Elephas maximus indicus: one gene and its partner. The protein of the gene in region 2 purifies or fractionates together with the protein of the main gene of each other region. This does not show direct contact. Links are inferred from orthologs where the notes say so. Each region holds a gene or a part of one and is shown on either strand. Other genes may lie near its edges.

What was found. Proteins that work in one complex are often made in the same cells at the same time.
Region 1: the proteins of TUBGCP2 (region 2) and MZT1 purify together in Homo sapiens (affinity purification with mass spectrometry; 4 studies listed by BioGRID and IntAct, counting the BioPlex papers as one, with this or other methods). This does not show direct contact. The link is inferred for Elephas maximus indicus from reciprocal best matches to the Homo sapiens genes TUBGCP2 and MZT1.

What each region holds. Positions count from the first base shown.
Region 1 is NC_064832.1:65,153,961-65,161,947, reverse strand, and holds the start of MZT1 (mitotic-spindle organizing protein 1), read left to right. Parts: upstream 1-4,972; 5' UTR 4,973-5,061; coding exon 5,062-5,134; intron 5,135-7,987. Other genes in the region: BORA (protein aurora borealis), read right to left, coding at 1,282-1,388, 3,534-3,686. UniProt on the Homo sapiens protein: Required for the recruitment and the assembly of the gamma-tubulin ring complex (gTuRC) at the centrosome.
Region 2 is NC_064834.1:82,913,045-82,920,923, reverse strand, and holds the start of TUBGCP2 (gamma-tubulin complex component 2), read left to right. Parts: upstream 1-4,862; 5' UTR 4,863-4,987; intron 4,988-4,993; exon of another isoform or gene 4,994-5,434; intron 5,435-5,455; exon of another isoform or gene 5,456-5,595; intron 5,596-5,694; 5' UTR 5,695-5,864; intron 5,865-7,879. Other genes in the region: ZNF511 (zinc finger protein 511), read right to left, coding at 3,230-3,354, 3,592-3,793, 4,463-4,536, 4,710-4,862. UniProt on the Homo sapiens protein: Component of the gamma-tubulin ring complex (gTuRC) which mediates microtubule nucleation.

The DNA of each region.
Region 1 (7,987 bases), on a different chromosome or scaffold from region 2:
TTCAACTGATATAAACAAGAAGAGTCCCATCAAACAAACACTGCTACCTGACATGTGGAATCAAAAACTAGGTCTGTGCCCCCAAGGAAGTACATGTTCTCAATATATTAGGCATCATTAAGCCGCACAAGTCTGAGGCACACTAGTGCTTTGAAGCCTACACAATACATCAACAAATAAATTCAGGCTACTCTGGTTACTATGAGTTATAGATGCTAACCAAAAGGTCGGCAGTTCAACTCCACCAGGCACTCCTTGGAAACCCTATGGGGCAGTTCTACTCTTTCCTAAAGGGTTGCTATGAGTCGGAATAAACTTGATAGTAGTGGGTTTGGTTTGGTTTTTTTTCTGGTTACTACGAAGAATTGAAGGCAATGTAATTCCAAGGAGCCCTGGAGGCCCAGTGGTTAAGAGCTTGGCTGCTAACCAGAAAGCTGGCAGTTCAAATCTACCAGCCACTCCCTGGAAATCCTACAGGGCAGTTCTACTGTGTCCTATAGGGTCATTATAAGTTAGAATTGACTCAGCAGCAATGGGTAAGTGTAGTATAAGGAGCTCTGGTGGTCAGTGGTTAAATGCTCAGCTGCTAACCAAAAGGTTAGCAGTTCAAATCACCAGCTGCTCTGTGGGAGAAAGATTACAGCCTTAGAAACCCTATGGGGTAGCTCTACTCTATCCTACAAGGTTTCTATGAGTTGGAATCAACTCCATGACAATGGATTTTTTTTTTTTTGGTAGGTGTACTATGTTAAAGTTGGATGATTTTCTAGAAAAGTTTTCTTTATTGCTAGTGAACACTCATCCATTCAATGTGTCTTAACTTGGTAAGGGGACTTTCAGCTTCTCCAATTATAGATGGCAACAAAACAGTATTTTGCTTTATGCACACATGGCAAAAAAAAAAAAAAAGAGAGAGAACACTCTTAAAAAGGAAAATAAAATTTTAAAAAGTCAATGACAGAAACCGTAATCATGTACAAAGGTATGAATTTCAAAACGCCTTGCCCTCTATCAAGTGCTGAAGAGGCAGAGTTACTTCATAAGCAGCCCAAGAAGAAGGCTATCTCTAAAAGAAAAGGACTCCCACCCAGATGTGGAACTCTCATCAAGGGAATCTTTGCAGATAGAGTTCTTTGGACTAACTCCTTATTTAAATGGAACAAATTGAAATTTTTCCACCCTGTTATCTTTAGATACAAAAATATTCAACCTTTGGAATTTCCTATCTCTCTTCACTTGACAGAATGTTATTACACTTTGGTGCAGGGAAGAAAAACTTACCGAGAATGACTTAAGTATAAAGCTTGACGATGAATGTCCTCTGGGTCTATTTCTACAGGATTTATTACAGCTAGTTGATCAATAGACCATCTAAATTTCCCTGGAGTCTTAACAAAAGAAAGTAAGCTTATCAGTAGAGGCAAACTAAACTAGTTCATCAAAATGCTAACCAATGTCACCTTCAAAAACAATGTGAAAAGCTATAATACAAAATATTTTAAAGTTCTTATCTTAAAATTTGACTTTACCACTAAATTCAAAGGCAAATGGTAATCATCACACTAAATCAACTTACTTGACTATAACTCTTTTGAAATATCAAAATCTATCTGGTTAATTTTTAAAATTATATACAAAACCAAACGAAACCCACTGACGTTGAGTAGATTCCAACTCATAGCATCCCTATATATAAAAACAGAAAAATCACGACACAAAAAGGGAAAAAATTCAACAATACTCATCAATGATGCAACATACCCACGTAAAAGTAAAAACTTCTTAGAGTTATCAAGGGTCTTTACTATCACCAAGAATAAACAGAAATTAAGCAAAGTTCTAACCATAGAAGTGGCTGTAAAAGCTCATAAACTGGTTGATTCTGAAAATAATTATGAATGGTAACAAGTGCTGCCATTTCTTATTCAACTACCCAGCTGAATCAAAAGCTTATCCAAACTGCAATCCGTATTTAGAAATATATTTTTTACAATTCAGACCTAAAGCCCCAAGATGCTATGGTTTCTGGATTTGAGGAAAATGTTGCAGACATCTTATTATTTAAGACTAAGAGAAAAGTAAAACCTAATGAGCCAAAAAAAAAAAAAAAAAAAAAGGTCAATTAAATATCACTGGGTCAGATTAATGAAAAGACTCAATATAAACTGTAATACTGCCGCACCTTCTTCTTCTACACATCTGTTTATTGTCCAGGATGACAGAAAAGGGAGCGTAAACAGTTACCCAGTTTGTAGTTTTACTAAGCAACTTACTAAGGTTAAAAGATCAGGCTTCAAAAGAACTTCTCCAGTGCAGCAAATAACAATAAAAATAAGCTAAACTGATGAAAAAAAAAAAAGCCTCTGCTAATCTCCTAAAGAGCACTTTCTCTTCCCTATTACCCTTGGACTTAACCGTCAATCATAATACGTATCACACTATCTTAAAATTGCTAGTTTAGTTGTGTCTATTAGAGCAGGGGTTGAATTCTTTTTGTAGAGCCTACAAGCTAAGAATAGTTTTGAAATTCTCAAAGGACTGAAAAAACTCCAGAAGAAAATTACAATGACGTGACACGTGAATATTACATAACATTGTAATTACAATGTCCATTAAGTAAAGCTTTATTGGAACTCAGTCACGTTTATTTGTATTGTCTATGGCTGTTTTTGGAGCCCTGGTGGCACAGTGGTTAAGTGTTTGGCTGTTAACTAAAGGGTTACCCTTTGGGGCAGCTCTACTCTGTCCTATAGGGTTGCTGTGAGTCAGAATCAACGTGACAGCAATGGGTTTGGTTTTTTGGTTATAGCTGTTTTTGCATTACATGACAGAGATGAGTAGTTGCCAAAGTGACCAGATAATGTGCAAAGCCTAAAATATTTCCTGTCTGATCCTTGACAGAAAGTTGCTGGCCCCTGCATTACAGTATAAGCTTCTTGAGAGTTTCCGTATAATGATCTTGACTATCTCACAGTGTAACCCCTATGCCTAGCTCTATCTGACACATAAACTGAAAACCAAACCCGTTGCCGCCAAGTCAATTCCGACTCATAGCGACCCTATAGACAGAGCAGAACTGCCCCACAGAGTTTCCAAAGAACGCCTGGTGGGTTGGAACTGCTGATCTTTTGGTTAGCAACTGCAGCTCTTAACCAGTTGCCACCAGGGTTTCCATCTGACACCATAGCAGCCTTCAAATAATGTTTGCCAAATAAATGAGAACAGAGTAGCTATTAGATGACACAGCTTCTTCTCTAATCTGGTATTAGTAGATACATCATTACCCATAGTATCTAACTACACCTGCACTGGCATGGAGCTATCCTATGTTTTCTGCTGAATTAAAAAAAAAAATGCTAACTAAAAAAATCTTCTAACTTATTTTTAGCCCAACCACTAGATTACAATGAATGCTGCAATGAAAAAAGCATATTCCAGCTATACGTACTCCATGATATATTTCTCCCTTACTTTGTAAAGAAAGGATATTTAAATTTAAAGTTATTTGTAAACACAAGTCAAAAATAACTTACCGGTAATTTTGTTGATTTAAAAACAGAGGGACTGGAGACAGTTTGCTCATGGAGATTAGAATAATCACTAGGACTTTCAAAAGGATTTAAAACAGTGATCCTTCCTGGAGTTTCTGGTGTTATTTGCATCTTTGATTCTTTGACATCTTCCATAGCACAAAGAGAAAACTAAAACGAAACCAGAAATATGTGTACTAAAACCACAGAGCGCCGTAGATGTTAATTCTGACAACTAAAATGTATTCAAGAAACACATGTTTCATAAAAAGAACGAACTCAAAACCTAATGCTCTTGGGTATTTTGTACAGTTCACAAAAAAGCATCACTTATATTTTCTCAAGCGATCCACTAAACAACCCTGGAAGCTAGTGAGATAAAATCTCACTTTGCGGAAGAATTAACAAGCTCACACAAGTTAAGTGGCCATCGTCCAAATTAGAGCTCAGATACACCTTCGAGGCAACTAAATGTTACCAACGGGCACAAGATTCTTTTCGACTAGTGGACTTACAGTTTTTTATTCCTCATCTAAAGTCTCTAAAGAGTTTCAACATCCTTCCGACACCCCAGCAAATCCCACTAAATTGCAGTTATTATTAAACAATTCTTAATAGCAAGAATTTAAAAGATAAGGACGCTTGTGCACGGATCCCTTCTTGAACATTAGACCTCGCCAGAAAAGTATGACTGATTAAAAAAAAAAATGATTAGGATTAAGAGATTAACGGTCTTTGAAGTTATCCTTCTTTAAACATCCTCCTCTCGTCAAGATACACAGGATAGAAGGAAAGACTGCATTATTTCCAGGTAGAGGGGTATACAAGTAAAGAAAAAGAAGAATCTACTTCTTGGAAGGCTGAAGTGCAGCTGGCTTCCTTGGATCAAGGGCAGAGGAGGACATCAATGCCGGTGTCACCCCCAGCCCCTAGGCGATCAGCCTTTCCCGGCGCCCCTCTCTTCCGCACCTACCCCCTGGCTGCTCCCACTGACCCCGGGGCGAGCAGGCTGGCAGGTCTGGAGCCGGGAAAAGTGAGCTATCCTATTACAAACAGGAGGAAAGGCCAGGAACTATAAAGAACGTACCTACTGGTGTGTGTAAAAAGGAAACCACGCTTCCCAGGGCAGAAAGCCCTCAATAGCGACTCCAGGGTGCTCCCGAGGGGCCAGACCCAGAGCCCACGACAGGCACAGACTCTTTAACTCCCCGCTTCCGCGCTGTCTTAGGCCAACCAGGGCACGGGGCTCGTGGACGACTGGCCAATCGCGTCCCATCGCTGTCCGCGAACCAGCCAATCGCATCGAGGCCGCGTAGTAAATTCGAATGGAAACTCCACGCTTCACATTCCGCGTAGAGTAACGAGGCTCCAAATTCAAATGAACGCAGCCGCACGCTGGCGACGAGCGCGAGGGGCGGAGCCTCCCTGGCGTGAGCGGAGGACGCGCGGTGGGATTGCCCGGGGGAAAGGAAGGCGCTCCAGTTCCGGGTCAGGCCCTTCCCCGCCTCCGTCGGCCGGACCGGCCTGAGCCATGGCGAGTAGTAGCGGCGCTGGGGCGGCGGCGGCGGCAGCCAATCTGAACGCGGTGAGGGAGACCATGGACGGTGAGTTCCCGTTTTCCTTCCTCTACCTCGCCTCCGCTTCCACAGCGAAGGCCCACAGGCGAGGGTGAGGCTAGGGAAGACTTGAGGTCGACCTTCTGCCCCAGACGACATCTTCGAAGATCTTCCAGGAGGACTGGCCGGAGCCGCAGGGCGGGCCGATGGCCTTATCCTTTGAGAGTTTTCTCTTGGCTCCTGCGTAGTTCGTCGCGCGTGCGGCGTTGGGACCCCCGCGTCAACCTGGCGCGCGCCCCGCCCCTCCCGAGCCCGACCTCCAACGCCTCCTCTGGAGCGGGACCCCGCGCGCACCGACCCCCAGACCGCGTCCCGCCCCTTCCTCGACCCGCCTGCGCTGTCCCCGCGCTCCCCGGCGCCCTGAGCGCTCATTCCGTGCTGCGCTGCGCGCTGCGACCCTCCCTCCCCAGATCTGGCTTCCACGTCCCCTTCCCGCGCCGGATCTGCGCGCCCAATGCGGCGGAGCACCCTGCTCCGGAGCGGGAAGCGGTGCGGGAGCGCACTACACCGTAACTTCCTAGCAGAGAGCCTGTGTCTGGTCACCGTTCTGTTCCTTGCTTTGGCACTTAGGTGGACGCTTTGTAAGTATCCGGCAAATGAACAGATAGCCCCTTCATCAGAAATGCGTCGCTTTTTTCTTGGATCGGATGACGGCCGTGTCGGGTTTTGTGGGAAGTGGCCAGTTTGTGTGCCACGGAACACGTGGGTGTGAAGCCTACTCAGGCGTGGAAGACGATTCAGACTCTTGGAGTTAGACGTATCATCTACGGTCTGCCTTGCCGCTTGTTCGTATCTCTGTGCTGAGCTTAGAAAAGCTACTTAAACATCTTTGAGCCTGTCTCTTTTTCTGTAAAATACAGTTATCCCAGGATTAGTTGTATTCGAGTAAGATGATGAGATAAAGGCATAGTAAAGATGACCAATAAAAGGTAGCTTTTCTCTAATTTTTTCTGTTTATTGAATGTCCTCCCAGCTGCAGACTCCTTTCTTTGTCTCCGCTTTACATGCATCCAGCTATAAATGAGTGTTGGATGGATGTTAAATATATCTGCTTACACGCTCCCTCCTAATTTTCCAGGGGATACCCGCATCAACCTCCATCTCCGTTACACAAACAACCCCACTGAATCCTCACTAGGTAGTGTCAGCCTTCCTGCCATATATGTGTCTCCTTTAATGCATGTTCTACTTTGTGATACGTTCCCTGGTTATCATCCCTTCTGATAACGCCTCTGCCTTTTCTTGCACTGGCTTTGCTTTCCTTTTCAGAGAATTACTTGTACTACTAGAGCGCTTGCATAGCTAATTTTTACTTACCCAGTATCTACTTTGCTGTTTTTCTGAAAACTAGAATTTTGTCCTTAACACCATATCCAGTCTATTTTGTTTCATTTTTCTCAATGTATCACAGCTAATTAATTTTGTAAATGATACGTGTACATAGGAATTTATATATATGACCTCATCATCTATCTTTACCTGGAAGTCAACTTGCTTTTTGAACAAAATGGGGAATATGAGACTTCGCTTCTAGCCAAGTGTGTAAGCTGTGCTTAGGTTCATTATTAATGTGGCCATAGAATCCCACGTGACTAGAAGCCGTGTGTTTTATCCCTGATGGAACTGCTCACCCATCACCCATTGCTGTCGAGCCTGTTCGAACTCATGTACATCACCTACTGATGTGCAGGTGAGAACTGATGGTTTGTATTGGTTGCCTTATCAAAATCTTTACTGAAAGAACTTTGTGTAAGAGGATGATTATAGAGAGTGTTAAGAACATGAAAAAGTGAAGATGAGAAATATTTTTTTAAACAAATTGGAGGAAAGGAGGTATGGATTAGAGAACATGGCTCCTCTACATGGAGTCCCTGCACTGCACTCTAGTTGGAGGTTCGAGTCCACCCAGATGTACCTCCAAAGAAAGGCCTCCTGAAAATCAGCCATCAGAAACCCATGGAGCACCGTTCTACTCTGACACACATGGAGCCACCTTGAGTCGTAATTAACTCCACAGCAACTGGGTTTTTGTTTTTCTTTGTTGTTGTTGCTGGTTTTTTTTTTTTTTTTTTTTTTTCGCTTTGATGGACAGAAATTTTCTCACAGGTTAGAAGGCTAGAAGTCTGAATTCGGGGTACTAGCTCTAGGGGAAGAGTTTCTCTGTCCACTCTGGGCAACTTTTTATATTTTTCAGCTCCTTCCACGGTTTCTCTTCACTCACAACAAGAAAGTAAAAAGAGAGGCACCAGGTTGCAGTGGGTCAACATTTGTAAAACATGGTAGTTCGATGCTGTTATGTTCATTAGAACTCTAAACTTACAGGAGTACCCTGCTGTAATGCCATAGTTGGGGCCCCAGACATTCATTCACATAAAATGCGGCGTTCAATTATTGCAGAGTTAATGGAAGATAGTGTTTCCTAAGCTGTCTATAGTGATTGGGGCACAAAGCTGAAGAGTATGAAACATCCAGTGTACACAGTTGACCATACATTGAGCTGAAAAAGTAAAGGTAGTCGTTACGTAATCCCACCTTCCTCCACCCTTATGTTCAGAAATAAAACTTTAGCTTGTCCAAAGGCCTGGGCTGACCTACTCAAATACCATTTGTCATTTGAAATTTTGTTAACCTGGGCCTGCACTATGTTTCAGTCTATCCATGAGAGCCTGAGTGAAGTGTTCAAAAATTGGTTGAGTCCCATTTCTTTCCTCAGTGGCAGATGTTGTCTACCCTTCTTTGCGATCACTTCATCTCCTGACACTCCCTCTCCCATCAGTATTGGAAAGAGTCAGATAACAGATCTAAATTTATTAATGGTTTGCATTTTAACACTTAAATTTT
Region 2 (7,879 bases):
TGCTCATCTAAAGACTTCACCAAAAGAGTAAAAAGACCACCTACAGACTGGGAAAGAATTTTCAGCTATGACATCTCCGACCAGCGCCTGATCTCTAAAATCTATATGATTCTGTCAAAACTCAACCACAAAAAGACAAACAACCCAATCAAGAAGTGGGCAAAGGATATGAACACACACTTCACTAAAGAAGATATTCAGGCAGCTAACAGATACATGAGAAAATGCTCTCGATCATTAGCCATTAGAAAAATGCAAATTAAAACTATGATGAGATTCCATCTCACTCCAACAAGGCTGGCATTAATCCAAAAAACACAAAATAATAAATCTTGGAGAGGCTGCGGAGAGACTGGAACTCTTACACACTGTTGGTGGGAATGTAAAATGGTACAACCACTTTGGAAATCTATCTGGCGTTATCTTAAACAGTTAGAAATAGAACTACCATACAACCCAGAAATCCCACTCCTCGGAATATACCCTAGAGAAACAAGAGCCTTCACACAAACAGAAATATGCACACCCATGTTTATTGCAGCTCTGTTCACAATAGCAAAAAGCTGGAAGCAACCAAGGTGTCCATCAACGGGTGAACAGGTAAATAAATTGTGGTATATTCACACAACGGAATACTATGCATCGAGAAAGAACAGTGATGAATCTGTGAAACATTTCATAACATGGAGAAACCTGGAAGGCATTATGCTGAATGAAATCAGTCAGAGGCAAAAGGACATATGTTGTATAAGACCACTATTATGAGATCTTGAGAAATAGTATAAACTAAGAAGAACACATACTTTTGTGGTTACAAGGGGGGAGGGAGGGAGGGAGGGAGGGAGAGGGTGTTTTACTGATTAATTAGTAGATAAGAACTGCTTTAGGTGAAGGGAAGGACAACACTCAACACATGGAAGGTCAGCTGAATTGGACTGGACCAAAAGCAAAGAAGTTTCCGGGATAAAATGAATGCTTCAAAGGTCAGCGGAGCAAGGGCGGGGGTTTGGGGACTATGGCTTAAGGGGACTTCTAAGTTAATTGGCAAAATAATTCTATTACAAAAACATTCTGCATCCCACTTTGAAATGTGGCGTCTGGGGTTTTAAATGCTAACAAGCGGCCATCTAAGATGCATCAGTTGGTCTCAACCCACATGGAGCAAAGGAGAATGAAGAACACCAAGGTCACATGACAACTAAGAGCCCAAGAGACAGAAAGGGCCCCATGAACCAGAGACCTACATCATCCTGAAACCAGAAGAACTAGGTGGTGCCCGGCCACAATCAATGACTGCCCTGACAGGGAGCACAACAGAGGACCCCTGAAGGAGCAGGAGATCAGTGGCATGTAGACCCCAAATTCTCATAGAAAGACCACACTTAATGGTCTGACTGAGACTAGAGGAATCCTGGCGGTCATGGTCCCCAAACCTTCTGTTGGCACAAGACAGGAACCATCCCCGAAGACAACTCATCAGATATGAAAGGGACTGGACAGTGGGTAGGAGAGAGATGCTGATGAAGAGTGAGCTAATTATATCAGGTGGACACTTGAGACTGTGTTGGCATCTCCTGTCTGGAGGGGGGATGGGAGGATAGAGTTGGAAGCTGGCAAAATTGTCACGAAAGGAGAGACTGGAAGGGCTGACTCATTAGGGGGAGAGCAAGTGGGAGTACGGAATAAGATGTATATAAACTTATATGTGACAGACTAACTTGATTTGTAAATGTTCACTGGAAGCTCAATAAAAGTTAATAAAAAAAGAAAAAAAGAAACACAGGTAAAAAAAAAAAAAGAGAGAGGGAAGGGGACACCTAGGTCGACAGGCACAATAAAATCTATTAAGAAAACATTCTGCATCCCGCTTTGGTGAGTGGAATCTGGAGTTTTAAATGCAAACAAGCAGCCATCTGAGATGCATCAGTTGGTCTCAACCCACCTGTGGCAAAGGAGAACGAAGAACACCAAAGGCACAAGGTAACTACGAGCCCAAGAGACAGAAATGAACACAGAAAGCAGAGACTACATCAGTCTGAGACCAGAAGACCTAGATGGTGCCCGGCTACAACCGATGACTGCCGTAACAGAGAACCCCTGAGGGAGCAGGAGAGCAGTGGGATGCAGACCTCAAATTATCGTAAAAAGACCAGACTTAATGGTCTGAGACTAGAAGGACCTTGGAGGTCATTGTCCCCAGACCTTCTGTTAGCCCATGATGGGAACCACTCCCAAAGCCATCTCTTCAGACAGGGATTGGACTGGACTATAAGATAGAAAATGATACTGGTGAGGAGTAAGCTTCTTGGACCAAGTAGGCACATGAGACTATGTGGGCACCTCCTGTCTGGAGGGGAGATGAGAAGACAGAGGGTGACAGAAGCTGGCTGAATGGACATAAAAATACAGGGTGGAGCAGAGGAGTGTGCTACATCATCACAGGGAGAGCAACTAAGAGTACATACCAAGGTGTATATAAGTTTTTGTATGAGAGACTGACTTGCTTTGTAAACTTTCACTTAAAACAATAAAAATTAAAAAAAAAAAAGGCAAGGAAACACTGCACAAATTTAACCATTATTTCCAGAGGTGTTTCCCCACAGTTTGAAGTATTGGATGTTATTGTGAACAAATTGTGTGTGGCACATTCTAGAAAATAACATGGCTGCTAAGTACTTATGCTGTCGTGTTCGTGAACACACACCACAGGACAAATGAGAAACCGGAGGGCCCAACATGAGGGGTTCACGGCCTGGGACACAACCACAAGGACCGCAGTGGCCATGGCTCCCTCTGGAGGCTGTCTCCGCACGGCATGCCAGTGGCCCAGTGTGCTCCACAGAAGGCAGGTGTGGGCCAGAGACGTATGAGCCAGGAGAAAAGTGGGGTGCTCCTAAAGGACTAAGGGGCCCAGGGCAGACTCGGAGGACTGGACCAGAGTCAGTCCCAACACAGAGCCTGGGCAGCCAGAGGCTCCCTTCCTGCCCTCCGTTCAGTGAACAGTCACACAAAAAATAAACCCCTACTTGTCTAACGTCCTCTAGCTAATAACCCTTGGTTTTCGGGTTTCTGTTACTTGTGGCTGAATCTAACAGTGAACAATGACAGGCTCTTAGCCATGGCACCTACATCCTAGTGTGGGAGTTAGGCAACAAGCTTCTTTTGGAGACAGGGAGTGGATACACACGGTGGTGTGGGCATGGCAGCACACACCTGGCATTGCACATACCCTCTGCTCTTCTTGGGCTTATCAAACCGGAAATCTGCAGGGTACAGGTGACGCTTTACCATGTGGTCCTTTCGGTCTCGGCTGGTCTTGAATTTCTCCTCACACCCTTCCACCAAGCACTGGTACTGAAACAGAACGTGCCACTCTACCATCATAACCCTAGACCCCCCCCCCGCCATGCTTTCATTTCTGGGGAAGCATATGATCAGACGTGTCGGGCAGGAAGGGACCCCTGGCCTTGCCCCCACACCCCTAGGATGGGAGGGACACCGTGACCCTTGGCTACTGTACCCAATGACAACACGGTGACCCTGGCACCAGACCACACTGGCTCCAGCCCCGTGGCGTGGCCCACTGCTCACCATGTCCTGCCTCTCAGCCAGGATCTGGAAGAGAGCATCATGCCACTCCACGATGTGGCTGTCCAGCAGGTGGCCGGAGGGGAATGCCCGCTTGCAGAAGGAGCAGACGTTCCTGTGCAGCACGTGGTAGTGGTGCTCGTAGCCCTCCAGGGTATCAAACACCTGGCAGCAGCCTGCCACCTGGCAGGTGAACTCTGGCACCCTAGGTGGGGAGGGCAGGTCTCACAGAGGCGCCCCTCCATCAGTCAGTGACAGAAAGCCCTGTTTGAATCTCCTGCCAACAGTTCTCCCTAAGCAGTCTCATGAAGCCTTCTGCAATTCAAAACCCCACTTTTCCCGCATTAGATGTTCATAAACAAGGTAGGAAGTGGGGGAGACAGCTACGCAAACCTTGGCACAGTGGTTCAGGGCACAAGGCACTTCCCAGGAGGGTTAAAGGTAAGTGTGGCAGAGCCCTGGTGGCGCAGTGGTTAAGTGCTCAGCCGCTAACCGAAAGGTCGGTGGTTAGAACCCACCGGCTGCTCCTCCAGGGAGAAAGATGTGGCAGTCTGCTTCCATAAAATTTTACAGGCTTGGAAACCCTATAGGGCAGTTCTACTCTGTTCTATAGGGTCACTGTGAGTTGGAATCGACTGAACAGCAACAGGTGTTTCCAGTTTTTTTGGTGGCAGAGCCCGGGCGGAGAACTCCTGGAGCACCCAGACCTGATGCTGATGTAGGCAGGCCTGCAAAGCAAGGGCACAGGAAGGGGGCTTGGGGCAGAGGTGAAAAGGTTACGAGGTGAGGGCAGAGCGTGGGTGTGGGGTAAGTGTGGGGCGAAGCGCCAGCGTCGACAGCAGAAGGCGGCGCTGTGGGCGCTGGAGCTGCTCACCTGGGCCTTGCGGGGGCCTCGGCCACCTGCATGAGCACGTCCCGTAGATAGAGGTGCCGTTGCACGTCCCCATCCTGGAATAGACAGGTGCCGTGGGGCGGGGTCAGAAGCCTTCCGGCCCCGCCCCGCGTGGCGCTCCGCCCCCTGAGACCTCGGCCCCCAGCTGGCAACTGCCCGGACGCGCGCAGACTCAGAGACGCACAGGGACACACGGACACACACACACAGACGCGCACACGCTGCGCACCTCGAAGAACTCGTGCTCTCGCGGGAAGCGGACCCGGCGCGCCACGAAACGAAAGGGCGCGGCCCCCGCCGCGGGGTCTCGCACCACGGGCAGCGGCTCGGCGGCTCCGGGGCCCTCGGCCAGGCGGGCGCGCAAGGCGGGCGGCAGCTGCATGGCCGGGCACCGCCTCTCCCCCTGCCTGCCGGCCACCGTCCGGAGCCGGACGTGACGTCGCGCGCATCACTTCCGCCGTCGCTGCGGGCTGCGGCGGCTCGGGGCGGGGCGGCGCTGAGTCGGCGGTGAGTGCGGGCGCTGGGCGGGCGGGGGCGCGGGGACCCCAGGCCCCCGTCCGCGCGGCTCTGCGCTTGCCCCGCCACCGGTGTGCCGGACGCTGTGCCAGGTGCTCAGCGGCCACGGGTGCCAGCGTCAGACCGGGTCCCTGCTGCCCCGGAGCCTGCAGCGGAGAAGGGCGGCAGATGTTTAACGGCGGAGACAGCTACCCAGTTAGATCGGGAGCGCCCGAGAGAAGCAGGGGGCGCTATGGGACCGTCTGTGGGGGATGGGCCGGGGGCTCACAGGGACAAACTCCACCCGCCAGAAGATTTCCTCGTGGAGCAGGGCTTATAAGTGCTCTAGCAAGGAAAAGGGGGTGCTTGCTGTTTCTATAAGAGAGCCACGTGTAATGAAAATAGAAGTAAGCGACCCATGATGAAAAGCTTTTTGTCAGCTTTACCCTGCAACTAAAGGTTTGTGGCTACAGCCCCACCTGGTCATCTTTAGGCCTAAGAGCTTCTGTTATGGATCAAGAGTCTATTTTTCATTTTCTTGTCTCATACCGAGGACTATTTCTTTACTTTCCTGTTTCTGGAAAAACGTTAGGGTTCTTGGCATTTTTCCAAGTTGTAAGGTAACGTTTTTCAAGCCAGTTAGTGCAATTACCTTTGAGCTCTAAACAAAGATTTTCTCAGCTTCTTCTGTGTTGTAATCAAATGTTTTTCACTACTAGCGTGTGCCTCATTCTGTCACGGCAAAACATGACGTACCACTCCATCGCCTCCTCCCGCTCATCCCTCCGGTAGCTCTCAGGAGAGAAGTGCTGCTCAGTCACGCGAGTTTGTGTTCCTCCTTTTGTGGCAACGAACAGAGAAGAGAATTCTAGAGCACCAGAAAGATTAAGTAAGCTTTTAAATGTTCTTAAATTGTTGTTAGGTGCCATCGAGTATGTTCTGTCTCAGCGACCCTATAGAACAGTGTAGAACTGCCTCCTAGGGTTTCCAGAGAGCAGGTGCTGGATTTCAACTGCCAACCTTTTGGTTAGCAGCTGAGCTCTTAACCACTGTGCCACCAGGGTTCTGTTCTTAAATGTTTTTGTTTTTTGGTGGGGACGCTACTGGCATTTTTGGTGGGACAGCACTCCTACATCTTGCCCACTAAGTCAAGGAGCACCTTCCAGACACTGTGACAGCCTGTTGCCCCTACACATTTCCACAGATCCCCAGGGGATGGTACTGCCTGTAGTCGAGGGCTGCCATCTTGTAGGAATTGTTCCCCAAATCCAGATAGAACAGCAGGCTCCTTACAGTGTTAATGTTTGTGATGTGGGGATGTCTGTGTTATATTTTTACCACAAATGTAAAGTTTCTTGAAGATGATGTTTCAAAACAACGTTCACTCAGAAGTAGCTCGCTACCTGTGTTTGCTTGGTGGAGGGTGTTTCGTTTCAGCAGCAAACAAATGTCCTTGCCTTTTTGTATTACCAACATGGCCTTCAATCCAAAAGCAGAGGACAACCCACAGTCATCGAGAAGCCATCAGCCAAAGAGTTGCAGTTTTCCTGTTCTGCATGTGGTTCGAGGTTCCTTCTTCAAGGCTCCTTGTGGTTAAGGAAGAACTGATGGTTGAGGCATTGTCAGTAATGCTGGTCTGATTGTCTATGTGTGAAATCCACCATTTTCCAGATAACGGAGTTAATGTTTCCAGAGTATTTGCCCTTTGTAGTAACAGCAACGAGTTATTTCTGCTTTTCCAATAATAACAACTGCAGAACTTTTTATGTGCGGGCACCTCAGTGCTTTATGAGAATTATCTTATTTAACCCACAGCAGCTCTGTGGCATAGGTACTATCATTTCCCTCTTTTCTGATGAGGCACCTGAGTGTCAGAGCCTTAGAAAGGACAGGCTACCTGCCCAGGGTCCCAAAACTGGGAAGTGGCTGGGTCAGTGCTGAGCCTGCCTGGGACTCCATGGCCACATCCTGTGTTTCTTGCCTTCTAACCATGAGTGCTTCTTGATGAAAACATGCATGCTTCGGGGACGTACCACCAGTTCGTGTTTGTGTTCCACTTTCATTGTTGGAGACGTTCTGCCTCCGACCAGTATTTGATGTTTATGTGCCGTGAAAGTATGATATTTGTATGCTGAGCATCTGTTTTCCATTAGACAAGATTAGAGTCTAGCTTTCTCAATGTGAAGTTCCAAATTAATATGTATTAGTAAGTTGTACCTTGTTTGGGTCACAGAACTTTTTGAGAAGCTGATGAAAGACCTTCATCTTAGAAAATTCACAGATGATTTCGCGTCTCATTTCTGAGGGTGCTTTTCATGTTCATGGGCCTAGACTAAGACCCGTGCACTGGCGCTGCAGTGTTTTAGTGAAGCCTGTCCCATTTGTGTTTTGAATCTGTGGTGATTGACACATGCATTTGTCTTAAACCTGTTGTCGGCTCTCTTGGTGGTAACGGCTGCCTGGTCTGCCATCAGTGGGAGAACAGAGGTCCCCATGCAGTCCGCTGCTCTCCACCTGGTGGGACACTGATTTTGTATTTCATGGCAAGACCCTTGGACACAGCAGGGCATAGTGAACTAAAGTGGGACCCCATCCAGCTCAAGGGCACAGGGAGTGTGTAGAATTTGCCCAGAAGCATTAGCATACACAGCCAACCTTGAGAGCAAGAAGGGGAGATGTTCCTGGCACCAGAGCTGTAAATGGAGCTGCAGCTGAAAGGCTCAGGGTTTTAGAGCCAGGTGAGAGCCTTGTGGGCTGGAGTCCAGTGTTCGTGCTGGGACAGGGAGTAGTGGTTTAAGCTTAAGGCTGTTGTGGTGACGTCTAGGGGGTGGGGGAGCACGTTTGCAGGGCTCTCCTGGGCCCCAGATGATTTTAGCTTGACAAATGCCTGGTCTTGGCCAACTT